Linked DNA regions of Ovis aries. The protein of the gene in region 1 purifies or fractionates together with the protein of each later gene. This does not show direct contact. Links are inferred from orthologs where the notes say so. Each region holds a gene or a part of one and is shown in the gene's direction. Other genes may lie near its edges.

Evidence for each region.
Region 2: the proteins of CHD8 (region 1) and KPNA6 purify together in Homo sapiens (affinity purification with mass spectrometry; 4 studies listed by BioGRID and IntAct, with this or other methods). This does not show direct contact. The link is inferred for Ovis aries from reciprocal best matches to the Homo sapiens genes CHD8 and KPNA6.
Region 3: the proteins of CHD8 (region 1) and KPNA5 purify together in Homo sapiens (affinity purification with mass spectrometry; 3 studies listed by BioGRID and IntAct, with this or other methods). This does not show direct contact. The link is inferred for Ovis aries from reciprocal best matches to the Homo sapiens genes CHD8 and KPNA5.

What each region holds. Positions count from the first base shown.
Region 1 is NC_056060.1:24,094,459-24,104,435, forward strand, and holds part of CHD8 (chromodomain-helicase-DNA-binding protein 8), read left to right. Parts: intron 1-124; coding exon 125-368; intron 369-1,309; coding exon 1,310-1,486; intron 1,487-2,445; coding exon 2,446-2,589; intron 2,590-2,732; coding exon 2,733-2,988; intron 2,989-3,551; coding exon 3,552-3,762; intron 3,763-4,009; coding exon 4,010-4,205; intron 4,206-4,670; coding exon 4,671-4,838; intron 4,839-5,031; coding exon 5,032-5,211; intron 5,212-5,381; coding exon 5,382-5,492; intron 5,493-5,830; coding exon 5,831-6,027; intron 6,028-6,247; coding exon 6,248-6,447; intron 6,448-6,527; coding exon 6,528-6,708; intron 6,709-6,796; coding exon 6,797-6,886; intron 6,887-7,331; coding exon 7,332-7,435; intron 7,436-8,638; coding exon 8,639-8,768; intron 8,769-9,212; exon of another isoform or gene 9,213-9,322; intron 9,323-9,678; coding exon 9,679-9,754; intron 9,755-9,977. UniProt on the Homo sapiens protein: ATP-dependent chromatin-remodeling factor, it slides nucleosomes along DNA; nucleosome sliding requires ATP. Acts as a transcription repressor by remodeling chromatin structure and recruiting histone H1 to target genes.
Region 2 is NC_056055.1:235,357,212-235,367,188, reverse strand, and holds part of KPNA6 (importin subunit alpha-7), read left to right. Parts: intron 1-342; coding exon 343-442; intron 443-1,584; coding exon 1,585-1,679; intron 1,680-2,680; coding exon 2,681-2,812; intron 2,813-4,257; coding exon 4,258-4,346; intron 4,347-5,112; coding exon 5,113-5,212; intron 5,213-5,529; coding exon 5,530-5,693; intron 5,694-5,861; coding exon 5,862-5,940; intron 5,941-7,601; coding exon 7,602-7,727; intron 7,728-8,042; coding exon 8,043-8,170; intron 8,171-9,669; coding exon 9,670-9,848; intron 9,849-9,977. UniProt on the Homo sapiens protein: Functions in nuclear protein import as an adapter protein for nuclear receptor KPNB1. Binds specifically and directly to substrates containing either a simple or bipartite NLS motif.
Region 3 is NC_056061.1:21,101,525-21,111,501, reverse strand, and holds part of KPNA5 (importin subunit alpha-6), read left to right. Parts: intron 1-1,615; coding exon 1,616-1,741; intron 1,742-2,541; coding exon 2,542-2,669; intron 2,670-5,023; coding exon 5,024-5,202; intron 5,203-7,706; coding exon 7,707-7,894; 3' UTR 7,895-9,977. UniProt on the Homo sapiens protein: Functions in nuclear protein import as an adapter protein for nuclear receptor KPNB1. Binds specifically and directly to substrates containing either a simple or bipartite NLS motif.

The sequences.
Region 1 (9,977 bases):
ACAGGCTTAGTCTGGGATTATTTTTATTTATTTTCTGTAGAAACAGGTTCATTTTATGTACTTTTTACAAGATGGTCTCTTTTGACATGCTTTTCTTTTTTTTTTTTTTGTGATGAATTGGCAGGCAGAACTGCATTCTGGCTGATGAGATGGGATTGGGCAAAACCATTCAGTCCATTGCCTTCTTGCAGGAAGTATATAATGTGGGCATCCATGGCCCTTTCCTAGTCATTGCCCCACTGTCCACAATTACTAACTGGGAGCGGGAATTCAACACATGGACAGAGATGAACACTATTGTGTACCATGGCAGCCTGGCCAGCCGGCAGATGATACAGCAATATGAAATGTACTGCAAAGACTCACGGGTGAGTTTCCTATAATGCAAATACTATGGCTTAGAGAGTAGGTCAAAGTACCTGGTATTTTAGAAGCTTTTATATGAGTCAAAGACTTTTATTGAGACTCTCTGTGATGTAAGGTATTGTTGTCTACTTTATGCAGGACACTTTTCCAACTTTGCTATTTTGATCCAGTGAACATTTTGATCCAGTGGAAATTCTGACTTTATTTATGAATATATACGTTTTAAATAGTTTTACCAGGATTGATTAGTTTTCATCAAAAAATAATTTTCCAGAATGAAATTCATTTAGCTACTTTTAATTCCTTGATTCATAAAATGGTGAACATAAGACATTTCTTCCTTTTTTTTTTTAAGTCTACTGAAGTTTTCATCAAGATTATTTCTTTTTTCTGTATAAGTTTGGAAAGGGTTTCTTAACATTGAATTTTGAGTTTTTTTCCTACCATTAGTTTCCCATTTTTATTTCTACGAAACCCAAGTTTATTCAAGTCATTTTGTGGCTCTTAATTTTGTTAAGATAATTGGATTCTTTTGTCCATTTTTAGGTAGTAACCAATATTACCACATACTACATTAGCTGTTTCACTTTTAGTTTTATCTTGTGTGTTTCAGCAGTGCTCAACATTTGTGGATTTTAGTGTTTACCAACAGAAGATATAGGGCTGAAATACATGAGGTAGGCATGCAGCAAAGTCAAGAATGTCCAGCTTCTTTCAGTAAGGTCTGTGATTTTCCCAAGAAGCTGAGTGTGTTGAGGAGGCAGTGATTCAGTGATTTGACACTGTTTATCAGGAATATGAACAGTGGCAGAGGTGGGTGGTGGTGCAATTTGTGTTTTCTATGAGGCCTGCCTAAATATAATATGCAGAATATGTAGTCCAGAAGAGCTTCTTATTTAAGTACATTTTAGGCCTTTTCTGACTTTGTTGCCTTCATGCTTAGGGGCGCCTCATCCCAGGTGCATACAAGTTTGATGCCTTGATCACCACTTTTGAGATGATTTTGTCAGACTGTCCTGAGCTTCGTGAGATTGAATGGCGGTGTGTCATCATTGATGAGGCCCATCGACTAAAGAACCGTAATTGCAAACTGCTTGATAGTCTCAAGCACATGGACCTGGTGAGTTCCTCCCACTGACTTGTGGCCAGAAACACCTAGAATTAAGTAATCTTAATTCCATATGAATTAATTTTATAGAGAAGAATCAGAATCTTGGTATTGAGTGGGGGTGTGGCCTGTGGGAATGGTAGCCTGAAAGTCATAAAATTCATATAAATTTTAGAGTTAGAAGATGATTGTGGGTTAGTGGTTCTCAACTGGGTGAAGAGGTGAGATGTTAAATTAGTTACCTATTTCTGCATAGCAAAATATCCAAAAACCTAGTGACTTAAAACAACTGTGTTTTTCATGACTCTCTAGCTTAGCAACTTGGGCTGGGCTGAGTGATCTCATTCTTTCAGTGGCCTTGCCAGGAGTCAGTGATACAGCTGCAGCTGACAGTTGGTACTGGTTGTTGGCTAGGCCATCTTCCATGTGGTCTGTCACCCCTCTGTGGGCCAGACTTTGCTTCTGTACCTGGTAGAGTCAGAGCAGTGTTCCAAGAGGGTAAAGGTGGAAGGCAAGGCCTTTGAGGCTCTGAAACGCACATGGTACCCACTTCTGCTACATTCTCATTGTCAGAGCAAGTTATAAAGCACGACCATGTTCAAGTGGTGAATCTTGATAGGAGGAACTACCAAAAATCAATGGCCATATTTAATCCTACACAGGTACATTTCTTAGAGGGAGACATATTAATGGATATCTGTGGGGACTTGAGTGTGGAGAGGCATATTTAATTGGAAAAAACATGTTCTAAATATTTCTTTATTGCCTTATGATATTAAATTAATATGTTAAATAATATCAAGAATATTCTTGAGTATTTTGTGTTTATCAAAAGAGGCAGCAAGTAAGAGTAATCTGGTCCATTTCCATAATTTTACAGTTAAAGAAATGGAAACTAAAGTTATATACTTGATGGAAAACTTCAGAAGTCTTTCTGAGTTTTATCTTTCTTCTGTGTTCTCCATTTCTAGGAGCACAAAGTGCTGCTCACTGGAACACCATTGCAAAATACTGTGGAGGAACTGTTTAGCTTGCTTCATTTCTTGGAACCGTCACAGTTTCCATCAGAATCAGAATTCCTCAAAGACTTTGGGGATCTCAAAACAGAAGAACAGGTAGGAAGTTGTCTGATGTGATACTAATGCAGAATAAAAAAATTTGTACTAGGGAAGATATCTACTGTCATTGATATCCATGTTTCCATCTAATGTGAGAAGGTTTGTCCTCATGTTATTATTTTTTCCTCTGTTGGTTACAGGTTCAAAAGCTACAGGCCATTCTCAAACCAATGATGCTGAGAAGACTCAAAGAAGATGTTGAAAAGAACCTGGCACCCAAACAGGAGACCATTATTGAAGTAGAGCTAACCAACATTCAGAAAAAATACTACCGGGCTATTTTGGAGAAAAACTTCTCCTTTCTTTCCAAAGGGGCAGGTCATACTAACATGCCGAATCTACTCAACACAATGATGGAGTTGCGGAAATGCTGCAACCACCCATATCTCATCAATGGTGAGAGAACTCCTGAAACACCTACATTTCTGTGTTACCTTGATTACTAAATGGTGTTCCTCAGAAACAATACATGGATTGGCTGATCCATCCTAGTTTGGAAATAGAGGGAATTTTCTCTTTTTAAAACCATTCTCACGTGGAACATCTTCCTCTAGTTCTTTCTGACCCTTTGACTCTGCATAATCTCCAAAGTTAAAAAGGATTTGCTGTTAAGAATTCTGTTCTGTCTCCACTGATATTCTGTGTTGCTGTTTCTGTTTTGGATGGCAGTATGGTGGTAATAGTGGTTTTCATGTAATATTCTAGTCCTTTTCCACATATTTACATATTTTACTCTGACTTACGTGGAATAATTCTTAAGCCTGACTTATATGGAATATTTTGTATTAACAAAATTGAGGATATTTTAGGGTTTGGGAGTTGCTGAAATTCTGTTTTCAAGTCATATTGATATCAAGTCAGGTTATTTTCTTTTCTTTGCTTCCTTATCTCAGTTAAATAAACTGCAGCCTTAGTGGTTTCTCTGGATCTCAACATTAGGTCTGATTTTCTTTTGGCAGGTGCAGAAGAAAAAATCCTAACAGAGTTTCGAGAAGCTTGCCATATCATACCTCATGACTTCCACTTGCAGGCCATGGTTCGTTCAGCTGGCAAATTGGTTCTTATTGACAAGCTACTTCCAAAACTTAAAGCTGGTGGCCATAAGGTTCTGATCTTCTCCCAGATGGTACGCTGCCTAGATATCCTAGAGGATTATCTAATCCAGAGAAGGTGAGAAAAAAGTCATTCCTCGCCTGTTTACTTTGTACTTATAGAGCTGCAAAGAGTGGGAGGCCTGGGTTTAAATAAAGTTGACCAGGACTGGGCTAAGAGAAGTATTCAAGACTCTCACTCTCAACTTTCTGATAAAACTTTTGGTGAACTAGCAATACAAGGGTACTGGTATGATCCCAGCCTGCTTTTTTCTTCTCTTTTTCTGCTCAGCTGATTAAACTTTTTTCCTGTGATTCCCTTGCAGGTACTTATATGAGCGTATTGATGGGCGAGTTAGAGGCAACCTTCGGCAAGCTGCTATTGACCGTTTTAGCAAGCCTGACTCGGACCGATTTGTCTTCCTGCTATGCACCCGGGCTGGTGGACTTGGCATTAATCTCACAGCTGCTGATACTTGCATCATCTTTGATTCGGACTGGAATCCGCAAAATGACCTGCAGGTAGAGGAAATCATTGTCTTAGGGACTAATCACCTAACCTGAGAGGTTTTGCAACAGGATCAGGTTCTCTTAGAAAGTCTTAGCTTTTCAAGAATCTGGAATTGTTTAGTTAGTTAGGTCATCAAACTTTTTCTGTATAGGGCAGATAGTTAATATTTTAGGCTGTGCAAATCAGTCTCTGTTGTAACGGTTCTCCTTTACTCTTGTACTACAAAAAACATCTATAAGCAAATATAAATGAATGGGTAGAGCTGTGTTTCAGCAGAAACTTTAGAAATAGGTGACCAAGATTTGCTGACACCTGGTCTGGATGATGAGGCAGTAATTTCATCTTGAAATTGACTTTCTGATGTTGAGTTGATCTCATGGCTGCTTTATAAATGTAAATCAGTATTTTGAATGCTTGTCCTCCCCACTCCTTCTAATGTTGTTATTTTTGCCCTTCCTTCCATTTGTTAAAACCAGGCCCAAGCACGTTGTCATCGAATTGGGCAGAGCAAAGCTGTGAAGGTGTACCGTCTCATCACTCGTAATTCTTACGAGAGGGAGATGTTTGATAAGGCTAGCCTCAAGTTGGGATTGGATAAAGCTGTGCTTCAGTCCATGAGTGGTCGGGATGGCAACATTACTGGAGTGAGTCTTCTTAATTTTTAGCTATATTTGTAGTAGGTCATGGTGATGAAGGGAGGCAAAAGCTATTTTTTGTATAGGAACCTGACCCCTTGTTTGGATTCTCAATGATTATTCCTTAAAATATAATAAAATATCATGATGTGGTTAGATAATATTCTCTGATTTTTTTTCACCTTTCTGTTGGATTTTGTAGATCCAACAGTTCTCTAAGAAGGAGATTGAAGATCTCTTAAGGAAAGGAGCGTATGCAGCCATAATGGAGGAAGATGATGAGGGCTCCAAGTTTTGTGAAGAGGACATTGACCAGATCTTGTTAAGACGAACCACTACCATCACCATTGAATCTGAAGGAAAGGGTTCTACCTTTGCCAAGGTATGTTCTGTTGGTGCTAGAGGCTTTTAGCACAGAGAGACAGGAATCTCTAGAATTTAATATTTTTTAAAAAATATAGTTTTTTTTTAATATAGTTTTAAAATATACTGATTTCTCTTTACTCAAAAAAGTGGTGTAGTCAACTTTAGTATTTCTTTGTTCCTCATTAGGCAAGCTTTGTGGCTTCTGAAAATAGGACTGATATTTCTCTGGATGACCCAAACTTTTGGCAAAAGTGGGCCAAAAAGGCTGACCTGGACATGGATCTACTCAATAGCAAGGTGAGCTTCCTTTTCCTTCAAAGAAAAACTATGGCAGGAAACACATTACTTTCTGGAGTCCTTGCTCTGATTCTTCAGTGCTGACCTTGGCTTATGATGGTATATCACAGGCCATTGTAAAAGCTTTCTATATAGAGGGCCACTAAAAAGTACTTAGATAACTATCACTTAAGTTTGCTTCCTGAATCCCTGTAGATTATCTTACATGTCCAAAAAAGAATCTATCTTTGAGTATCTACAGATATTACATGCAAGGCTATTTCAGTCTGGTTATCTTTAATTCCTTTCCCACAATTATATTGTGAAAAGAGTTACTTCTCCTTCTGTTCTCTGCATAGAATAACTTGGTGATTGACACACCTAGAGTACGAAAACAGACCCGCCACTTCAGCACTCTGAAAGATGATGACCTAGTGGAATTCTCTGATTTGGAAAGTGAAGACGATGAGCGACCACGCTCTCGCCGACATGACCGTCATCATACCTATGGGCGCACTGACTGTTTTCGGGTGGAAAAGCATCTCCTGGTATATGGGTAAGACCCCATCTTTCCTCAGAGGTAGTACATTCCTTCCTGATAGACATCTCGTTCGCTTTTTAAATTGGAAGGTATGATCAAAGAGGGGATAATGGGAAAAAATTTATTCTGTTACCATGTTTTCCCAAGATCATTTTGTCTCCCACCATTTGGGACGTGTGAATTTGAGGGACTGGGGTCCCTAGGAAAATATCCATATGATTGCATTTTTTTGTAGTTGGGGACGATGGCGAGATATTCTGTCTCATGGACGTTTCAAGCGACGGATGACTGAAAGAGATGTGGAAACAATTTGCCGGGCCATCCTCGTGTACTGTCTCTTACACTATCGTGGGGATGAAAATATCAAAGGCTTCATTTGGGACTTGATTAGCCCTGCTGAAAATGGCAAGACAAAAGAATTGCAGAATCATTCAGGTGATTATCAAGTCTTTGCTTTTTGTCTTTCTATAGGTTACCTAATCCTTTTCAGGTCCAAGGGTTTTTCTCAATCCAAGTCTTCGATGTATCCCCTTCCCCAGGTCTGTCTATCCCTGTGCCTCGTGGACGCAAGGGGAAAAAAGTAAAGTCACAAAGCACTTTTGATATCCATAAGGCAGATTGGATCCGGAAATATAACCCTGATACTCTGTTTCAAGATGAGAGTTATAAGAAGCACTTAAAACATCAGTGTAACAAGTAAGGATGGAATTTAGCAGACTAAAGGATTTTCCACCTCACGCTTTCTGCACTATTACTGAGCCAGTTCTTCCTCTCTCCCTTCTAGGGTGCTGTTGCGGGTACGAATGCTATATTATCTGAGACAGGAGGTTATTGGAGACCAGGCAGAGAAGGTGTTAGGGGGTGCAATTGCCAGGTAAAGTTATGCTTTATTTTTCCTTATGCTGTGCCTTATTCCAGAATAGATTGGTTTACTTATTTCACTGTTAACTATCTTGGGATACGTGGTAATTAAAATCTGTATATCAGGTCTTCAGTGCTATGCAGTTGGCCTTTTGTATCCTTGGGTTTTGCATCCTTTTGATCCACAGTTGATCAAATCCATAAGGGCCAGCTGAATTTACTGTATGATTCCATCTTATTTTAGGGGCTTGAACATCAGTGGATTTTGGTGTCTGGGGTGGAACGAATCCCTTACAGATACCAGGGGACAGCTGTTCTTGATACCAGTGGAAGGAAATAGGCAGATGTAGGACTATTTAAATTAATAGAGAAAGGAAGATACTTGTAATAATCTTTCCAAAGATTGTTTGCTTTTATTTCCTGCATCACTGTGCTGACTCTGCCTCTTACACCTTCAGTGAGATTGACATATGGTTCCCAGTAGTGGATCAGCTGGAGGTTCCAACAACATGGTGGGACAGTGAGGCTGATAAGTCCCTGCTCATTGGAGTCTTTAAGCATGGTAGGTGTCTGCTCTTAGTCTGCTCTTTTCCTGTTATAGAGTTTTGTCCACAGATGAAATGTTTTGCAAAGTACTTAAGACCAATAATTACGTTTGAATGGTAAACTGGTTCTCAGAAATACAGAGCAGAGCTGTTCCTATGAATAGATGGTCAGGAAAGACCAGATGGATAGTTAAATCGCAAGGTAGGGTGTCTTCCATCTGTTCTGTGATTAATCAGTTACTACCAGTCTGTATGCAGTGGTATCTAAGTTAAGGTTTGCAATCGGGGGAGATGATGCATGTCTACTCTTGTTAATAATAAACATGTTTACTTTGCATAGCTTTCCTGTGCCTTGCTGAAAATGTTCTGTTTCTATAGCATCTTGTTTGTCTAAATATTCAGCATTCACTCTTACGTAGGTGTGAATAGCCATGCTTGAGTGAAAGAAAAATTAAAAAAAAAAATTTTTTTTTAGGTCAGTAGAAAAAACTGGCTTAAAGTAGAGTAGAAAAAGGGAGAAGACTCCCTTTTCAATCTTCCCTAATCACAAATTCCACACATAAAAAGCAGTAAGTGCTAACTTCTAGCCTAGTGACTTAATGAATCGGAAGATTATTTCTTTTTTAATATACTTTTCTGTTTACTTCTATAAAATAAAAGTAATGGCACTTAATTCACATTTTTGACAAGTTTAATTGGATGAGAAAAAATGTGAGCATTTGTAGTGTTAGATTTACTTGTGAGGTGCAGAGGCTTTAGAAGAGTCCAAATATCCTGAAATACGTTCATCATTCATCCACCATTCAGAGTACCTGTTTGCAGGTACAAATTTCTTATCCTTTATTTGAAAGTGTATTACCTAGCTCTAAATTATTGGACTTTCAAAATTTCCTCACCTATGTAGTAAGAATGATGATAAAAAATTACCCGTTTTAAAAAAAAAATTACCCGTTAAATGGCTATGTAAATCTGTCACCATTCTCTGTACACACTGATTAAATTCCTATTTTTGGTAACTAGTGATAAAACTCTTTATGACTCTGAATTGGAGTGGAAATATTAAATATCTTAATATAACCCAACAGCTGTCCAAATTAACATTTTCAGAGTACTTTACACTATGAGCAGAGTAGCCCACATTTTTATTCCAGCAGCATATGAAGTAAGCGTAAAAGCAAAATGAGTCTGATTTTCTTTAATTATGGCTCTTTCTCTTCAAGGCTATGAAAAATATAATACTATGAGGGCAGACCCAGCCTTATGCTTCCTGGAAAAGGCTGGCCGACCAGATGACAAAGCCATCGCAGCAGAGCATCGCGTGTTAGATAATTTTTCTGACATAGTGGAAGGGTAAGCATTGATGTTTAGTTCTGTTAAAGCTGTATCTGCATTACAAAGGATATTTGTTGCTTGTGCTAAGAGATGACATAACTCTAGCCTTGACTGAATCCGTTGGGATTCCTAATGGTGGTTATACTCACAAATGATAAATTCTTAACAAACAGTGCGACCAGCAGAAAGGTCTCCATAAATTGGCCTGAAACCATACATTGTCATACAGCGCAACTAAGGGGGAAAATTACTCCCAAATGGCTTATTTGATCTTCTCTTCAGTTTTCTGTGCAGTGCTTTTAGCTACAGTAGCGGAGAGGGTAACTGCTTCTCTTGAAAGATGGTAGCCATGCAACAGTCTCCTACCACCAGTGTGATAGACCCTCAGGAAACTTTAGCCTTGGTCTATCATTTTCCAGTGTCCGCTGACACATAAAGGTGTTTACTTTGCCTGAGTCCATGCCTCAGTGATGAGTTGCCATGCTAATACTGAGCCATCAGCTAGGGCAGTATTGCCCTGGTTTGGGTGCCAGTGAGTTTAACAAAACTTCTCATGTGGAGATCTGAGGGGCATGTGAAATATTTGACTTAGTTCATGAATACCTTCCTAGTCCCTTATTATTGAAAGATTTTTCTTCAGTGATCACAGCCTCAGTTTGCCTAGTGTAGGACCCACAGAGGAAATTAGATTTATTTATTGCAAATCATGTAATATCCTTTTGCTCAGTAGAGTAAAGTAGTAAAAATAAGCAGGCATAGATCATTCATTCCAATGAAATAATAAAAGTAGATACTAGTTGGGACAGAGGGGGAAAATGGGTTAAATAATAAAAAGCTATTAAGAAAAAGGAAATGTGCTGTTTCATTTTAAAATCAAGCAGTTTAGAACTCAATTTTGTCATTTTCTCATACCTCTGGATAATTTTAGGGTTGACTTTGATAAAGATTGTGAAGATCCAGAATACAAACCACTCCAGGGACCCCCAAAGGACCAAGATGATGAGGTGAGGAATTTTCATTTGAGTCTAGCTTTTCTGTATTACTAAACAGTATTTTCCAATTCCCTGAATCATGAAGTATACTGATTAATTTATAATAAAAAATGAAAAGTACCATTCAAGAATATAAAGTATTAATGGAAAGGATTGTAACACCAGCTAGGGGAGGTCAGGGATGATTTTTTGGAGGAGGTGGGACCTAAGCTGGACAATGAACTATATTATTGGA
Region 2 (9,977 bases), on another chromosome or scaffold:
TCTTCATTGCTACATGCAGGCTTTTCTCTAGTGACAGCTACTCTCTGGTTGGGGTACAAGAGCCTCTCATTGCAGTAGCTTCTCTTGTTACAGAGTATGGGCTCTAGGAGCACAAGCTCAGTAGTTGTACATATGGGCTTAATTACTCCTCTGCATGTGGGATCTTCCCAGACCAGGGACTGAACCCATGTCTCCTGCACTGACAGGCAGATTCTCAACCACTGGACCACCAGGGAAGCCCTGCCCTCAAGTCTTTAGAAAGCAGGATGCCAAACAGGATTATGGGCTTATATCTGGCTCTAGTGTTGGTTTGCAAAATCATGAACCTGTTTTATGTCCTAGGAGAGTGTGATCACAAGAGAGATGGTGGAGATGCTCTTTTCTGATGATCCTGACCTGCAGTTAGCAACCACACAGAAATTCCGGAAACTGCTCTCCAAAGGTACAAAGCCTAGACTTCCCCAGAGAGGCCTGCATGACTTAGCCTTTTGTTTCCTCTCACTGACCTCATCAGTTACTGCCCTTCATTCATTCTGCTCTAGCCCTGCTGGCTGTGGCATCCTTGGACAAGCCAGGCACATTCCTACCTTTGCATGGCCATTCCCTCTGCTTGATACCCTTTAGTTGCAGATATCTGTGTGACAGGGCTTCCCTGGTGGCTCAGTGGTAAAGAGTCCATCTGCCAATGTAGGAGAAGTGGGTTCGATTGCTGGGTTGGGAAGATGCCCTGGAGAAGGAAATAGCAACCCACTCTAGTATTATTCTTGCCTGGAAAATCTCATGGACAGAGGAGCCTGGCAGGCTACATTCCATGGGGTTGCAAAAGAGTCAGACACTACTCAGCAACTAAAGAACAACAATCTGTGTGATAGCTGCTTCATTTCTGTGGTTAGATCCTACCTTTCTCAGCAAAACCTACCCTGACACCCTAACTAAAATTGCTGCTCCCCCCACCCCCTGCAGCATTTTTAATCTCCTTACCTGGCCCTACGTATTTTATTTCCTATTACAGTTATTACCTTCAAACATAACAGTATTTCTTCTCACTAGGATATAAGCTCCATGAGGACAGAGACTTTTGGTTTGGTTCACTGTTATATTCTTGGTACCCAGAACTACGTCTGGCACGCGTTTTTTGCTCAGTAAAAATTTGCTGTATGATGGGAAAAATATTTTCTTTTCTCCCAAGGACTTTTGTCCTTTGACCTTGGGAGGACTTTTCTTCCTCCCAAGAAAAGAATGCTGATCTTAGAAGGGAAGTGTTTAGACCAGCATTGCACCTTCTTTGGTCATCTCTCCCTTACTTTCTTGCTTGCTTAGGTAGGTAAGGTTATTTACTTGCTTAGATTTAGAAAGCCAAAGGTGAGCATACTTGGATTAGGATTGGCTTTACTTTTTAGATTCTCAGCTATTTGATGCAGTTCAAAAATGACCTGCTATTGTTAAAACCACCTCACCAGAAGGAAGCTTGGGAGTGTTTCTAAGGATGGTCAGGAGTATTTAGGAAGGATGGTGGACTGACCCCAGTGAATGCATCAGCCAGCCCTTCTCCTGACTTCTCTCTTTCCTTTGTCCCTCTCCCAGAGCCCAGTCCTCCAATAGATGAAGTTATCAACACTCCAGGAGTGGTGGATCGGTTTGTGGAGTTTCTGAAGAGGAATGAGAATTGTACATTACAGGTGAGGCCCAGGGTGGAGAGGTACCAGATGAATGCTCTTTTGCCAAGAAATTGCTAAGGCATGCTTCTGCAGACACATCTGTGAGGAGGAAACATTTAAGGAGATGCTGTTACCTCAGAGGACTTGGTCTCAAGTAAGAGAGCCACAAACTCTTCCCCAAAACAGTCTCAAAGGAAAGATACCAGAATATGACAGATTCATTATTCAGAGGTTGTGATATAGAATAAATATATATACATATGTATGTATGTATACATATACGTATATAAAACGCTCTAGTCCATTTGTAATTCTGGAGTGAACCACTTTGCTTCTCTGGGCCTCTCTTCTCACAAATGAGTGATGAGCCACTCTACGAGAACTTATTAGAAATTTGGCTGAAAGGATCCTTGAGAGACCCGTCTCACTTATATCCTGGTTTCAGAAACGAATAAAGTGAAGTGCAGGAAATAAAAACATGGCTTGCTGCAACCCACTCCAGTATTATTGCCTGGGAAATCCCATGGACAGAGGATCCTGGCAGGCTTCAGTCTATTGGGTCGCAAAAGAGTTGGACATGACTTAGCGACTCTGCCACAACAACCCACTGAGGTGGTGGGGGAATAGTAAAGATTTGGTGTTGCCCCCAGGTTTCACTCCTCTTCTTTCATTCTTTCTCCTTCTCCTAACTCTTTCAACCTGTCTTCCTCTCTGCCTCTAGGAAAAACAAACCAACAAAAAACGCGGCTTGCCCAGGAACTCATGGGGGCTGTGGTAGTGCAGGCCTAGACCTGGAACCATGGAAGCCTAGTTCTGTCTTCCTATTATGTTATGTCACTGCCAGTAATTCTTCCTTTCTTTTAAAGGAGAAAAGGGAAAGGCATGTGTGGTGTTGTGTTTTTTTTTTGTTGTTGTTGTTTTTCAAGTCAGGGGCAGGAGACGTAACTGCTCTGAGCCAGGTGGTAGGCACGGCTGCTCTGTCCGGAATGACCTCTCAGTCATGGCTTTAATCTCACTTTCAGTTTGAAGCTGCCTGGGCTCTAACAAACATCGCCTCTGGAACCTCTCAGCAGACCAAAATTGTCATTGAAGCAGGGGCCGTCCCCATTTTTATAGAGCTGCTTAACTCGGACTTTGAGGATGTACAGGAACAGGTAATACCCAAATTTGACTTAATTCTTAATGATGTCAGCGGTATAGTAAAAAATGTATTTTGTCTTTATCCCCAGTTAAGAGGTTAAGAGCAAAGAGCTCCTAAGAACCTTGGGATTTTCTTAGTGATCCAAGCGACTTCTCTTATCCCTAAAGAGCACCTTTGCAACACACCTGAGTGTGTGCTAATGCGATGACTCAGGGTGGGGCCCTAGATAGCTTTCGGAAGGGGGGCTAGTGATCAGAAAGACCAAATTTGGGATTAGAGAATAGGAACTTTCAGCCCCGCCCCTGCCCACTCTTCCCACCCCTGCTCCCCAACCTCCCTAGGGATGTTACAGGGGGTAAATATTGGGTTATAAAAATCTTGAACAGTGAGATTCAGAGAGCGTCTGGGTTGGTGAATGCTCACTGTGCTGGGAAGGTGACATGCCTGGAGAGGGCACAGGAGTTCTGTGCAGCCCCTATGCTTTGCCCCATGCCTTGCCCTCTGCATCTCTAGCTCTTCCTCAGTTGTATCCATTAGAGTAAACTGCTAAACATGAGTCAAGTTTTCCTGAGTTCTGTGAGTCGTTGCAGAATGTGGAACTCCTGAATTTATAGCCAGTTGGTAAAAAGTATAGGTGGCACCTGGGAGTTGTAACTAGTATCTAAGTGAGGCCAGTCTTGTGGGACTGAGCCCCCTACCTATTGAACTGACATGGGTTTCCTGGTAGCTCAGCTGGTAAAGAATCTGCCAGTGGTGCAAGAGACCCCAGTTCAATTACTGGGTTGGGAAGACTCCCCTGGAGAAGGGAACGGCTACCCACTCCAATATTCTGGCCTAAGAGAATTCCATGGACTGTATAGTCCATGTGGTCACAAAGAGTCGGACACAACTGAGCGACTTTCACTTTTCACTGACATGGTATCAGAGAATTGATGTAGAAGAAAACTCTACATGTTGGGTGTCAGGTGGTGTTGGGAAAAAGACACCACAGTACCCATTTTTCAACATCTATGGATCATAAAAACCCTACTTCCAATTCTTGCGCTGGAGTTTTACTGGTTGACTAGAAGTGGAGTGGTACTGGGGATTTTTCCTCTATTAATACATATAGGGTTGGTCCTATGAGACAAGAAGAATACAAGTTTCCCATCATTTTCTCCTTTTATGGGAGATGAGGAGGTGCGGATAAGGAGGTTTTGGTTTGGTTTCTCTGGCTACAGTACAGCGGCAGCCTGCTTTCCCCCCCAAACCCAGGAATTCTCAGAGGAAAAGTCCTCATAGAGCAAGTACTCAATGAGGATGTCAACAAGGAGGGTACTGAGCTTATTTGGTGTGTTTCAGGCCTTGATGGGATGTTCGTCCTGGTTACTGCTGTGTGTCACTCTGTAGTTGTGAGTGTAAAGTACTCACAGAAGCCACTAGGCTCTGTGGGTGACAGTTCCATCCTCCCTTTTTTAGGCAGTCTGGGCACTGGGAAACATAGCTGGAGACAGCTCCGTTTGCCGAGATTACGTCTTGAACTGTTCCATCCTCAATCCTTTGTTAACGTGAGTAACTACTGGCATCTGCACCGCAAGCATCTGTAGGGCAGCCATGTAGCAGATCTTTGGGGGACAGTTTACCTTAAAATGATGAGTAAATCCAAAAATGCTACAAGTGCATTCTGATTGACAGAGTAAAAGGCTATCTTCTGAGAGTAAGAAGATTGTGCCGCTGGTGTGTGTCTTATGCTTCTCGCTTCACAGCACTGTAGAGTCTCCTGTTGGTCATACTGGGCTCATTGCTGAGCCAGAGGAGAGAAGGAGGAATAGCCCATCTGGAAAAACCTAACCTTCTCTGCAAAATGCATTGATTTTCTATGGGTTTATGCATAGGTACATTGGAGAGCTCTGTTGTAAACCACAGATCTAAGACCCCATGCAGGGTCGTATGGATGCAGAGGGAGGAGTTTTTCTTCAGAAGCCACACCTCGTAAGCTACTATTAGAACTCTTTTATGGGCCTGTCACAGAGAATCCATCCGTACTGCATAGCTAAAGCCCCCACACTAAAACTTCATTTAGCATGCTTATTCAAGGTCCAGCTCTCTGCTCTTATTAGCTGTGGGCTTAACAACCACATCTGGTCCTAATCCCCTATGAAGATGTAGGTTAGCCCCCTGGACCAAACTAACTCACTTAAATTATGGGTAGGAAAAGACAGTGAGGGGGCTAGAGTCGTAGGGGTCTGGTTGGATGTGCTCCTGGGGCTCACAGACAACAGCTCTATGCAAAGGGCATCATTGGTCAGCATCTGGCTTCTCTGTCTCCTTCAGACTCCTTACCAAGTCCACACGACTGACAATGACCCGGAATGCGGTCTGGGCCCTGTCAAACCTCTGCCGAGGGAAGAACCCACCCCCAGAGTTTGCAAAGGTAAGAGAGCTTCTTACCAGTTCCTGAGTAATAGCAGGTTCCTTCATATGGAGGAATTTTGACATGGGAGTTTTCAAGTCTTTGGGGAACCCTCAGAGTCTTGATCCACGGGAAACTGAAAGAGGCAATCTTCAGTGAAGTAGGTGATCTCGTGTGCCAGGGTGGTAAATGAAAATGTGGGCCTGATGGCTTAATGTAGTAGAAATCTCTGGGTCTTAGACTTACTCAGTAGAGGAGGGCTCGGACATGTTAGGGTTAGTGGTAGAGCTGATGTAACCCTGTCCCTCTATGAATCCCTCTCTCTCTGCTTCCAATAGGTCTCCCCCTGTTTGCCCGTGCTGTCTCGCCTACTCTTCAGCAGCGACTCAGACTTGCTGGCAGATGCTTGCTGGGCCCTCTCTTATCTATCTGATGGCCCCAATGAGAAGATCCAGGCAGTCATAGACTCTGGAGTCTGCCGGAGATTGGTCGAGCTTCTCATGTGAGTGATCCCAGTTAGAAAGGGTACAGATTCCAAGCTCAGAACTGCAGTTAGCAGTCTGCTGCCCTGTGCAAAGGTCTGGACCCATGAGTGCTACCGGCCTTGGTGGTCAGCAGAGCTGAAAGCTTGGTGCTGGCCCTCTACTGACCAGATCGCCCTCCTCTATAGGCACAACGATAACAAAGTGGCTTCTCCTGCTCTGAGAGCTGTGGGTAACATCGTCACTGGGGATGACATCCAGACCCAGGTAAGGAGGAGGAAGAGAGCTGTCTGTGGACAAATCCCTCCCTGCCGTAGACTTTAGTCCTGGTGGGGGGCAGTGTGATCTAGGAGAGAAAGCACAGGCTTGAAGGAAAAATTCCAACTCTGCCACTTTCTGTATGATTTGTGGGCAACTTGGTTGCCTTTATTTTTTCTATAAATTGGAAGCAAATCATTATCCATTGGGTGCTACTGAAGAAAAACTAAATGGAATAACTTGACTTACTACCTGGGACATGGTAAAGTCCCAGCTTTTCTGTTATGGTACCTTTGAAATACTTAAATCTTTGGAGCCTCACCCCTACTTTGTAACTAAACCTTTAGGATCCCATGGGTAACCTCATGTTAGTCCTCTGTTAGTAATACCTCCATAGAGGGTGCAGTATGCAAGGTTTTTCTATACACAGGCTGGAGAGCTGGTTATTCTTTTAAGTATAGTTCAATGGCATTAAGCGCATTCACATTGTTATTTAACCATCACAATCATCCATCTCCACAACTTTTGCGTCGTTCAGAACTGAAACTCTGTGCTCTTCAAATAATAAATTCCCGTTTCCCCCTCCCCTCATCCCCTGGTAACTACCACATTACTTTCTGTTTCTTGCGAGTTTGACTCCTCTAGAAACCTCACGTAAACCAAACCATATATATTTGTTCTTTTGTTTCAACTTAGTTCACTTAGCATGTTTTCGAAGCTCATCCCATGTTTTAGTAAGTCATACCTTCATTCCTTTCGGTGGCTCAATGATCTTCCTTGGCACACCTGTGCCACATTTGGTTTATTCATGCATCTGTTGATCAACATTTGGGTTGCTTTCACCTTTTGGCTAGTGTGAGTAATGTTGCATTGAATATTGGCATACAAATCTCTGTTTGAGTCCTTGTTTTCAGCTCTTTGGGATATACACCCAGAGGTGGAATTACTGGGTCATGGAGTAATTTTATATTTAAAGATTTTGGGGAACCACCATACTGTTTAGCACAATGGCTATACCATTTTACCTTCCCACCAGCAATGTACCAGGTTCCAGTTTCTCCACATCTTTACCAACAATTGTATTGCCTGGATTTTTTAAGAATAAAAATAATTTTATTTTTATAATAAATTTTAAATGTTATAAGTATTATAATAAATTTTATATATTATATATATATATAATCCCCTGGGATCTGGGGGTTAAGAACCCGCCTTCTAATGCAGGCGACTCGGGTTCAGTCCCTATTTGGGGAACTAAGATCCCACATGCTGTGGGGCAACTAAGCCTGCATGCTGCAGTGAAGACCCAGCACGGCCAGGAAAACAGAATAACTGTCCTATGAAGTGTGAAGCTGTATCTCACTGAGGTTTTGATTTGCATTTCCCTACTGATTAATGATGTCTGACATCTTTCATGTGCTTTGGGGCCCCCTGCCTGTTTTCTTTGGAAAAATGTCTGTTTATGTCCTTTGCCCATTTTAAACTATGTTCAGCTTTTTTTTTTTTAATGTAATCTGGATATTCATCTTTATCAGATATATAATTTCAATATACTTTCTCCCATTCTGTGACTTGTGTAATTCACTCTGTTGAAAGATGTCTTTCGGTACACAAAAGTTTTAAATTTTGATTAAGTCCAATTTATCTCAATTTGTCTTTTGGTGTTCTAGGTCATTCTTAACTGTTCAGCCCTCCCTTGCCTCCTCCACCTCCTGAGCAGCTCCAAGGAGTCAATCCGAAAGGAAGCTTGTTGGACCATTTCAAATATCACTGCTGGCAACAGGGCTCAGATACAGGTAAAACAAGCAGTTGGGAGATTGAGGAACGGTGGTAGAAAGGCCTGGGATCACGAGACTTTGTGGGATATTGCCTTCTAGACAAAAAAATTTCTCTTTTGAAATTGGGATCAGTGTCTGCTATTGGTCAAAGACTCTGTGGAGCAGAAGCCAGGTTCTTCTGCACCACCTTAGGTATATGGGAACGACAAAGGAGAACTTTGAGGAAGGGGAATGTGTCTAAATCTTAGCTGATTTGTGTTCTGGATTTGCTTATTCTCCTTGAAATGACTTTTTTCCCCCATATCCCACCCCCGAACCCCTAATTATTCTCAGGCTGTCATAGATGCAAACATCTTCCCTGTATTGATCGAAATCCTTCAGAAAGCAGAGTTCCGTACAAGGAAAGAAGCAGCCTGGGCCATCACCAATGCCACATCAGGAGGAACCCCTGAACAAATCAGGTACCACAGTCCTTCCCATTGTTTGAGTGACATGTTTACTCTACCTGTCAGCTTATGTTACATACAGTCTCTAAACTGCCTTTGCTGGGATAAGTCTACTGCTGTTCAGTAGGGTTTAACTGATAAGCTGCTAGAGTGTAGCCTCTTTTCCCTCCTTGAGAATGGACACTTAAGACAGACATTCATCTCTCCTCTGCCTCTTTCTACCCACAAGAGAATTTAAATCTATATAATTCACAATTACTCATACAAATGAAAGAGAACCATTCGATGGCTCATTCGGAGCAGTTTCCTTGAGAAATCATTTTTGACAATGATACTTGAGAGAAGTAAATAGGAAAGCTGTTTTGTGTGAAGATGTTCTCTGATTCTGCTTTCCATTATGAACTTGAGTTGGAGTGGTGGGAATTAGAAAAGTACCTTGCCTTCAGCTTGTAGCTTAGGAAGGGGGAGTATATTCAGTTCAGTCGCTCAGTCGTGTCCGACTCTTTGCGACCTCATGAATTGCAGCACGCCAGGCCTCCCTGTCCATCACCAACTCCCGGAGTTCACTCAAACTTACATCCATCAAGTCGGTGATGCCATCCTCGGTCGTCCCCTTTTCCTCCTGCTCCCAATCCCTCCCAGCATCAGAGTCTTTTCCAGTGAGTCAACTCTTTGCATGAGGTGGCCAAAGTACTGGAGTTTCAGCTTCAGCATCATTCCTTCCAAAAGAACACCCAGGGCTGATCTCTTTTAGAATGGACTGGTTGGATCTCCTTGCAGTCCAAGGGACTCTCAAGAGTCTTCTCCAACACCACAGTTCAAAAGCATCAATTCTTCAGCACTCAGCTTTCTTCACACTCCAACTCCCACATCCATACATGACCACTGGAAAACCATAGCCTTGACTAGACGGACCTTAGTCAGCAAAGTAATGTCTCTGCTTTTCAATATGCTGTCTAGGTTGGTCATAACTTTTCTTCCAGGGAGTATATTCAGCATATTATAAAACCTTAGGAGAAAAGGATAGCCACTGAGTTAAGCTTTTGAGGATATAGGGTTGTGAATGGCATTTGGACAGGAAAAGGCATAAGTAAAAGTACAAAAATCAGAAACCTAGAGACATTCACGTTTGGCTGGAATGTAATATTCTTGGAAGGGAATAATGTGAGATGAAGCTGAAAAAGCTTAGGAGCCTGATTGTATTGAGAGTAGAGCTTGGACTGTGAAAATTTTAAGCAGGGGAATGATGTTTCAGAGTAGGTAGTACTGTTGCAGGGACACATTACAGACCAGGAGGAGAAATCCGTGGCAGCCTTCTACATGGAAATGAACTAAACCAGTAGTATCGATGGAGTGGAGACTGAGATAAAGCCTGGGTGTTTATGAGGGCTCAGGCAGGGTGAATTGCTAAGAGCATTGATGTGTGTAAAGGAGACCCAGGGACCCCAGAGCACCGCCCTGGCACCTCCCTTATCTTGTCTTGATTTAGAACTTTCCTGGTCTCTGCCCTTCAGGTACCTGGTCTCCCTGGGCTGCATCAAACCCCTGTGCGACTTGCTGACTGTGATGGATTCAAAGATTGTGCAAGTGGCCCTCAATGGACTGGAGAACATCCTTCGGCTTGGAGAGCAAGAGGGCAAGCGCAGTGGCTCAGGGGTCAATCCCTACTGTGGCCTCATCGAGGAAGCCTATGGTATGTGCCCTCTCCCCAAACTAATGTCTGCCATAAGCAGAGTTCAGAACCATAAGTTCTAGTTCAGAACCTCTGAAGTAGTATATGTATGTGAGGGTGTATGGTCAGCATTGAATGCAAAGTTTTATC
Region 3 (9,977 bases), on another chromosome or scaffold:
TCCTTAAATACTATAAATTTTTTTAAATTGGTGTGCTGAGAAATCTTTGTCGATTCCATAAAGGAGTTGGAATTACTGCTGGAGAAGAATTTCAGTAGACTGGAAGAAATTTATGTGGTCATAAGGTAGAGGCACACATGTGTGAGTTACGATTAAGAGGTGTTAAACTTGGCTGGAAAAGAAACTGCTTAGGAGATGTTTACAGGTTAAAAGTTGGGTTGGAAATGCAATGTAATAGATTGAAAACTAGATTATGAGAGTTGAAGGAGGGATAGCAAGGAAACATTTTCCCACATTGATAACTAACTGTGTGTCTGTGTCTGCATGTCTGTGTGTCTGTGTGTGTCTACGTGTGTGTTTGCCTGTCTTGGATGATGGTGAGACTTTAAAAAAAGGTGTGATGTCAAACTGATTTCAGATCTGGAATATTCTTTCTTAAAGATACAAACTTAAACTCAGAAACATTAAATTATCCATTGCTATCATGAACTATATATTCTAATCTACATTCTTTAAGTTTTAGTCTTTTGAAGTCATATTTAGATATTTAGTTATTAAACAGTAGATCTTTAGTAATTGATAATTATTAATTTAAAAGAGCTCTTTAAAATAAAATGCACTTCCACACATACACTGTTTTCAGCAGAATTTTGGTGCACTGCTTCATATGTTCTTCACCAAGTAAACTTAATGTAAATCATTGTGGTTATTGTGAAAATGGAGCATAATTAATCTTGCTGTGAAATAAAGAATGTAAAGAGACAAAGCAAACCATGCTGTGCTTAGTCCCTCAGTCATGTCCGACTCTTTGTGTCCCCATGGACTGAAGCCCACCAGGCTCCTCTGTCCATGGGATTCTCCAGGCAAGAATACTGGAGTGGGTTGCCATGCCCTCCTCCAGGGGATCTTCCCAAACCAGGGATCGAACCCAGGTCTCCTGCATTACAGGCAGATTCTTTGCTGTCTGAGCCACTAGGGAAGCTCCTAAGAATACTTGAGTGGGTGGTCTTTCCCTTCTCCAAAGGATCTTCTGACCCAGGAATTGAACCAGGGTCTCCTGCATTGCAGGCAGATTCTTTACCAGCTGAGCTACCAGGGAAGCAAACTGTACTTACTTACAAAAGGAAAATAGGACAGTATAAATTTTAATGAAACAAATAGACTTAATATACACATTTCTTAACAATTTCTTAATAGACAACTTTCTTAACAGTTACGGAGTTGGATACATTCAAACTGTTTGAGGTATAAATATAGATACATTTTCCCCATTAATTTATTTGGCAAAACTTAAGTGGTTGGATCCTGACCAATCACTAAATCTCTGTTCAAATAGTTGTGTCAGTTGAGCTCTGAATGTATTTGTAAACTTGAAGGGCACACCTCTGTTTTCTTCATATTTGCAAATGAGTGGATGGAGAACAGGGCACTTCACTACACCAAGTTTTGGCAAATTGGGAGAGTAGAAGACAGCAAGTGCCTAACTAAGTTTTACTTTGAGAGAAATTTCTTTTTTCTTAATACATTTTCCAGAATTATTATTGTGTTTCTAAATAGTATATTTTTGTGTAGTTCTTTTCCAATAAAACTTTTCATTTTGTTATTGTTGTTTTAGGTAATTTTGAATTGCTCTGCTTTACCCTGTCTTTTACACTTATTGAGTAGCTCAAAGGAGTCAATCAGAAAAGAAGCCTGCTGGACTGTTTCAAATATCACTGCTGGAAACAGAGCTCAGATTCAGGTAAACAGCTTTCATATCTGAAAAAAAAAGGAGACCTCAGGAGTTATTTTGGACAAAAGTCGGCATTTTATCAGTGATATTTTTAGTGAGTTACTAAAAACATTTTCTCAAAAGATCCTTGAAAAGTTTTTTATAGAAACTGAATTTTCCTCCTCTAAAATAATAACATTTACCTGTTGTAGGTATTCTAGTATAGTGCCTGACATGTAACAGTCATTAAGAAGAGCTTGAATTTCATTAGGTTTCAATATCAGCAATGATTGGACTTCCCTGGTGGGTCAGATGGTAAAGAATCTGCCTGCAAGAGACCCAGGTTTGATCCCTGGGTTGGAAAGATTGGCTACCCACTCCAGTATTCTTGGAATGGCTACCCACTCCAGTGTTCTTGCCTGGAAAATCCCATGGATAGAGGAGCCTGATGGGCTACTGTCCATGGGGTTACAAAGAATCAGACATGACTGAGCAACTAACACACTAGGCAATAATCTTCCTCTCAGTGCTTTTAAATAGTGATTTATTAGTGTCCCATCAAGCTGCTTGAGTCATTAATACTAATTTCATCTTGATCAATGACCAGCCTGTGCTTTATCATCTTTAAAATTTATATTCTGCTAATATATTTTCCAGTCTTTAAAGGAAAGTATGTGAAAGTTTGTTGAAAATTTAGAAATAAATTATTTCTAAAGGTGTTTCCAAAAAGTCTGACGTTTTAAAGCCAACAAGTTTCAAGATTCTTCTACTTCATAATATTTATAAGACACTATTTGCATTGATTATGCTATATCATTTTTTCTCCTCAGGCTGTTATAGATGCAAATATTTTTCCTGTTTTAATTGAGATTCTTCAGAAAGCAGAGTTTCGCACTAGGAAAGAAGCAGCTTGGGCTATAACTAATGCAACATCAGGAGGCACTCCAGAACAGATCAGGTGAAAAAAGTTTTTTAATTGTTTTTTAAATATAAATAGGACAAAATTTGGAATAATACATACTTTTTATTTGTTGATAAGACTAAAACATTATTTCTAAGTAAGTTTTATAAGCATTTCTAATGTGAAATGATAGCATTTATTATATCTTTTATTCATTCACAGTGGTTTATTTTTGTCAAAGTATAATTGATATTCTCCTAGGCAAACTATGAAAAATCAGAGATTAAAAATCTGAAAAAGAAGTATATGTTAATTTGAAAACTATACTATTATGGGCAATAAGTATTTTTTTGACCATTAAAATCTCATGCATGTCTCTAATCCATGATTGTCTTCAATTTTTTAAATGATTGAATAATGGATAGTACGTTATGGTAGTATATTGACAATTAAATGTAATTTGCACACTTACAGTCTTACAGTGCTTTAGCATGGTGCCTAAACATTAAGCTCTCTACTAAGATTAGCTATTATCATTATTATTTGTAATCATCATCAATTTTTATTATCGGTATTCTCTTTTCTGCTGTCACCTTTTTTTCTTCCTGCTTTGTGTGGTTTGCGGGATCTTAGTTCCTGGACAGGGATCAAATCCATATCCCCTGCAGTGGAAACACAGAATTCTAACCACTTGACTGCCAGAGAATTCCCTGCTTTCACTCTTTTTTCCTCCATAGGAAAGTTCTACTTTGCCATTCTAGAAAAGCCTGACTTTCTACAGAATCTTCTTGTTGTGAGGATCACTTCTTGAAACTCGATACTTCTTTGGTTTCTTGAAGTGCTTATTTAGGAAATATTTTCTAATACATATTTATTTAATTCTTAATTTATACAAAAGAAGTTAGGCTGCTATGCCAATCTATAAATCACTAGGAGGATTTTGAAATCTACTTTTTGGGAGATCATTGTCTATTATTGCCTTCATTTCTACTGTTATTTTCTTTTCTCAGATATGTTGATACCATCTGTCTCTGCCTTTTATTTTTCATTCCTCCTCTGATTTAATCAGTATTATTTTCATTTCATTTGTGTCATGAATTACAAATAGTAATAAAATAAGATCTTTCATTTGTTCTAACTTGTATATTTTTTTGATGCTGATGTTATTTTTGTCTGTTTTGGGGCCCAAAGTTTGTAAACAGTTTATAAACAGTTATATTTTATTTTTCAATTTATTTTCATCTTTGTGTCTGTTCCTTAAAATGTATTAGTGTGACTCAGGTGTCCAAATTGAGATAATTATTTTTCTAGCCATTTTCATCATTTCTTTAACTCTACATATAGGGGAAGAAGACTTGATCTCAGATAAGGTTCAGCATTCATATCACTAATTTTTATTGACTGCTAGTTGTTATGCTAAGTCATTTCAGTTGTTGAGCATCAGTAGTACATCGGATGCTTTCATGTATTTTATTTCCATTAACTTTATAACTATGAGATAGTTATTCATTCAGCAGTTATATTTGATCAGTCACAGGTTAGGATATGGCAAGTGAGTATTCCAGTGAAGATATGCACATTTAAAAGAGGTGGGGATGAAAACTAACTTCCACTGAATATTTGCAGTATTCTCACAGCAACATTCTAGTTTAGAACTATTATTATTTCCACTTTTGATGTGGAAACTGAGGCACAGAGAGGTTACACAAAAGCACACAACTAATGAGGAGTGGGATTAGGACTTGAAACCATGCAGTTTGGCTTCAGAGCATGTTTAACATGGACTTTAGAGCATGCTTAATATGGACTTTTTGCCAGGTGAAGAAATTAGCTATTTTAAAGATCTAATAACTAGAAAAGGAAAAAGCATTAGGAAATGAGTAGAACAATTTTTGTGATCATTGTTTATTAAGATTATTCACAACATGGCCTGTTTTGCTTCTAGAAGCCTTCTGTGCTTCTGAAACACAGCCTATATTTTAGAACATTAACTACGATTGTTTCTGTGGAAAATTTCTTTCAGTTTGATTTAGGTGTCTCTTTTCCGTCTTCATTTCTACCTACCCCGATATGGCTTCATGTGTTATACGGGCTAACTAACCTTTATAACAAAAACAAACCTTGAGCCAACTATACTTCGCACTCATATGCTATGCAAAAACAACTATAAGTACCAATTTGCTTATATGTATTTTTGTAATATTTGTAAACCATTAATTGCTAATTATGTTAAATTATGAAAATAAGAGTAAGATTTTTCAGGTTCCTATATAAGTAAAAATTTAAGTATTTTTAAGAATACTTAAGTGTTTATGTAACATTTCACTGAAGAATGTTTTCATATCATTGCTATAAATATTTAAGTATTTTAAAATGTTTCTCCTCCACATTTTTTTTTAATTATTCTGAAGGTATTTGGTAGCCTTAGGCTGCATTAAACCACTTTGTGATCTGTTGACTGTTATGGACTCTAAAATAGTTCAAGTGGCTTTAAATGGACTTGAAAATATTTTACGGCTTGGGGAACAAGAATCTAAGCAGAATGGAATAGGCATTAATCCATACTGTGCACTCATTGAAGAAGCATATGGTGAGCATTCAGTAAAATTTATATTGCTATCAATGTTTTAATTGAGATCCAAGTGACACATTGGTTTCATGTATATAACATAATGATTCAGTATTTGTGTATACTGCAAAATGAATGTAATAATTATAGTTCATGTCACCATAGTTAAAATTTTTTTTCTTGTAGTGAGAACTCTTCAGATTTACTCTTAGCAGCTTTCATATATATATTACAGTATTATTAAATGTGGTCCCCATCACTGTATATTACTTCCCCAAAGCTTATACAGACTAGAAGTTTGTGCCTTTTGACAGCCCCTTTCACCCATTTAATTCAACCCCTCACCTCCTGTCTCTGACAACAGCCAGTCTGTATCCTGTATCAATGCACTTACTCTGAGCTCTTTGTTTTTGTTTGTTTAGATTCTGCATATAAGTGAGATTATAGGGTATTTGTCTGTATCTGTGACTTGTTTCAGTGAGTGTAATGCCCCCAAGGTCCATCCAGGTTGTTGCAGATGGCAAGGTTTTCTTCTTTTTTAAAAAAACTGAATACTGTTCCTCTGTATGTGTATGTGTTGTGTGTATATGTACCACAGTTTCTTTATCAATTCATTCTTTGATAGATAAGATAGCTCCCATGTCTGGGCTGTTGTAAATAATGCTGAAGTGAACACAGGGGTTCATAATATCTTTGAGTTCATTTTTTTTTTCATTTTCTTGAGATAAATGTCAAGAAGTGAAATTGCTGGATTATATTTTAAGAAATAAATGTGAAAAGTTAAAACTAGAACTGCCATATAATCTATATTGTTATCCATAGGGATTGCACCAGTTTACATTCCCACCAATAGTACACAAGGGTTTCCTTTTCCCACATCCTTACCAACACTTTCTGTCTCATCTTTTTGACAGTGGTCATTCTAACAGGTGTAAGGTGAAATCTTATTGTGGTTTTCATTTCCATTTCCCTAATGATTAATAATGTTGAGCATCTTGTCCTATACCTATTGGGCATCTGTGTATCTCCCTTGAAAAAATGTTCATTCAGATTGTCTGCCCATTTTTTAATCAGTTTGGTTTTGGGGTATTGAGTTATATGAGTTCTTTATATATTTTAGATATTAACCCCCTACTAGGTATATGATTCACAAATACTTTCTCTCATTTCCTAGGTTATCTTTTCATATTGCTGATGTTTTCCTTTGCTGTGCAGAAGTTTTTTAGTTTAATGTGGTCCCACTTGTTTATTTTTACTTTCTTGTCCTTTGTGTTTGGCATCAGATCCAGAATTCAAACAACTGTAACCAAGACCATGGAATTTATTTCCAGATGAGGCATGAATCTAAGTCAGTTCTTTTTCCTTTCAGTATATTTCCATTAAATATTCACTTTCTGTCTTAAATCCTATTATATCCATTCAACCACACCTGGGAGACCACTTTGCCTTTATTTCAAATTACATAATGTCACTGGTTAAGACATCATATAAATGAAAGATATTAATCGCTGATTTAAGAATATTTCCTGCTACAATCATTATTTTGGCCCCAAGTTATACTAGAGTTTAAGCTATTCTATGAGTATATATAGATATGATTACTTGATATATTTATATCCTGCAACAAATTGAAGAGGTTTATCTATAATTAAGTGAAAAATACTTTTAGCATCATCCAGACTTACGTGTGGATTATTTTCTTGTGAGCAGTAAAATAAAACACTGTAGATTCTCCTTACACTATGAAAATGGGTTAAGTTTCACTTATAAACTGTATTGGATTTACAAATAGTATTCATTTATTCCTTATTGATACACTTTGGCTTATTCTGTGAGAGAACTTTTTGTTAGTTTGCTCATTAATTTTAGGGCTTTGTTGTTGTTGTTTTGTTGCTTTCCCTTTTTGTGCTTTTTATTTAACATGATTACCCTGGGAACAACTTGTGGAGTTTACATGATCTAAAACTGTCATTTTAAAATTCAGAAACTGAAGTACAGAGGAATCAAACTTATTTGGGAAAAATCATAGAACTAGAAGGGTGGATTCTATGATCTTCCTACTGCCCAGCCTATGCTTACTCTTCATACCTTATTGCCCAATATTTTTATTTGTGAACTATAAAGCATAAGTATTGACTATCATTATACGCAAAAATCAGATAAAAGCTACAGAATCACTGAAATGTGTAATCTAAAAAATGCTACAAACTAGTGACTATAACAAAAGAGAAGTAGACTCATATAAACTAGTGGTTACCAGTGCAACCAGTGGGGGTGGAGTGCAAATTATTGGGTAAGATAGGCTCAAGGATGTATTGTACAACAGAGGGAATATAGCCAATGTTTTGTAATAACTGTAAATGGAATACAACCTTTAAAAATTATGTTTTAATTTTTTAAATTAGATTAAAAATAACAGTTCCATTGACAGTGGACTGGTGATCTATTGATTCATTATTTTGATTTAAATATATGTTGAAATCTGAGTAATAACTTTGATTTTATATATATGCTTTATATAATAGGTCTAGATAAAATTGAATTTCTGCAAAGCCATGAAAATCAGGAAATTTACCAAAAGGCTTTTGATCTGATTGAACATTACTTTGGTGTAGAAGATGATGACCCCAGTATTGTACCTCAAGTGGATGAAAATCAGCAACAGTTTGTATTTCAGCAGCAGGAAGCACCAATGGAAGGGTTCCAACTTTAACTTGGTAGGAGGTAAATTAATGGCTAAGAAGGGTAGCTTTACATATCTCCCCTTTCTTGCATTGTCAGTAGGAATATTTGATGTGTTTTTGTGTAGAACAAAAAAACAAAGAAGATGCACTTTTAGAAAGCAAAACAAAAGTTTCCATTCATATGCAACCTTTTATTATAGTTTTGTTGTTATGTTGGCCTGCCTGTATATATATCTTTCATTGTTTTATCTTTTTTTGTGTCTATCTGAGAACAGTTAAATACATTATTTAATAATTTAAGCCTGAGAAGGAGAATTTTGGTAAAGTATGACAATAATGGTTCTGAATTTTTCTAGCGCTCTTGGAAACTGCACATTAACAGTACAGCTGTTGATAATTGCATTTTGGCAGTGTTGGACATTCCCGTTCTCTACTAAATCTACCTCTCAAAGCAAAAACAAAACAAAAAAGCTTCAGAAGCGTGAAATAGAGAAAAGGCTAAATTAGAATGTAAAGATAGGTGTTACCAGAAATTATAAATCACTGTGCTCTAGGTTATACTTTGCAAAAAAAAAAAAAGGTTGGACAAAACCTGTAAAAGTTACTTATAAAATATAGGAAAAATATTGTACTGATAATTAAAATGTAGCAATTGTGAAGAGAGAAGCTGTTCTTCATATTGAACACATTAAAATAATTACACAACATTTAAATATTTGTGTTTTTAACATATAAATGCTATATTTTATATTTTGACCAAATATGCTAACATTTTTGAAATAGTGCTTTTTTATTTTTTCACTGCTCATTTTAGAGAGCATCATGATAGAGATGCCATTATGAATCTAAAGTAGTGCTGCATAGCAAAAATAATACTGTATTCCTTTCTCTGATTTTTCAGAGCAGTAATTGAGAAGTTTCACTTTCTGTGTAATAATGAACTTAGGTACTTGAATGGCAAAATTGTCCTGAAGAAATCACCTTGTTATGTATTAAATTTTATTAAATGTACTTACTGTTTGGACACAAAAGGATGATACTAATGAAAATTATGAAGGCTTCTTTAATTGGTTGAAACCTATATTAGGATTTTTTTCCCCTTTGGTAATACTCAAAGGGTCATACTGCTGCTTATCAATGTACCACTGTATTAGATTACATTTGTATCAGATTGGTTAATATAATGTAAGTGTTTATGTATTAACAGCAAAAACCTCTTCATATTGTGAAACTTAAAAAAGTTTCAATAGAAAATTATATATATATATTTATTTATAGATCCATATATATGCATGTGTCATATGTGTTTTTTTTCACGGTACTATACTTGGTAGTTTTCTAAGCAGATATGGTACTGTTGAGCTCAGTCTTTTCGTTTATAGTTATATACAGGCTATTTACATTTCCAGTTATATATCTAAAATACTTATTTAAAAATTAGTTTATTGCTGTTTTAAGATAGAAACTAAAAGCATTTTTGATATGACTCATAGTCTATTCTGTAAAGAAAGATTTCATTTATGGTATCATTTATAATGTTTCTGCTGGAAATCAGAGGCATGTTAACAAGAAGAAAATGTATACAGAAGTACTTTTAAATAGTATGACACTTTGTAAAATTATATATCATGAAACTAAGCTTTTGGCAAGACACTTAAAACCTACAGGCTATAGACTACAGGTTTAAATGGTGTCCATAATGCTGACTGCATCTGCCAAACCTCTTTTATATTGTTAAGTAGAGTATTGTATCTGTGCCCTTTTTATTGTAGTAGAAGGTATGAAGTTCAGTATGTGTATATTCAAAAGAACAGGGTAGTTATATTAAAGATTACCAAACTGATGGTGAATTTATCAGATCAACACTTTTTTGTGATGCTGATAGTATAAGTATCAGGTGACAGGGTATTCCACTCTTTCTAATCAATTGAACTTGATAATGCAGCATAATTCATAAACTAACCAGCTGTGCCTGCTTTTATTTTGAGGACCCTGTAGTCAGTTTAGGAGATTTAGATTAATAAATCTCTAAGCCACATCTTTCAAACAAAATAGTTCTTACAGAAGGAAAAATAATGGAAATAATAGAATGGCCTTTAATTTTAAATTTTT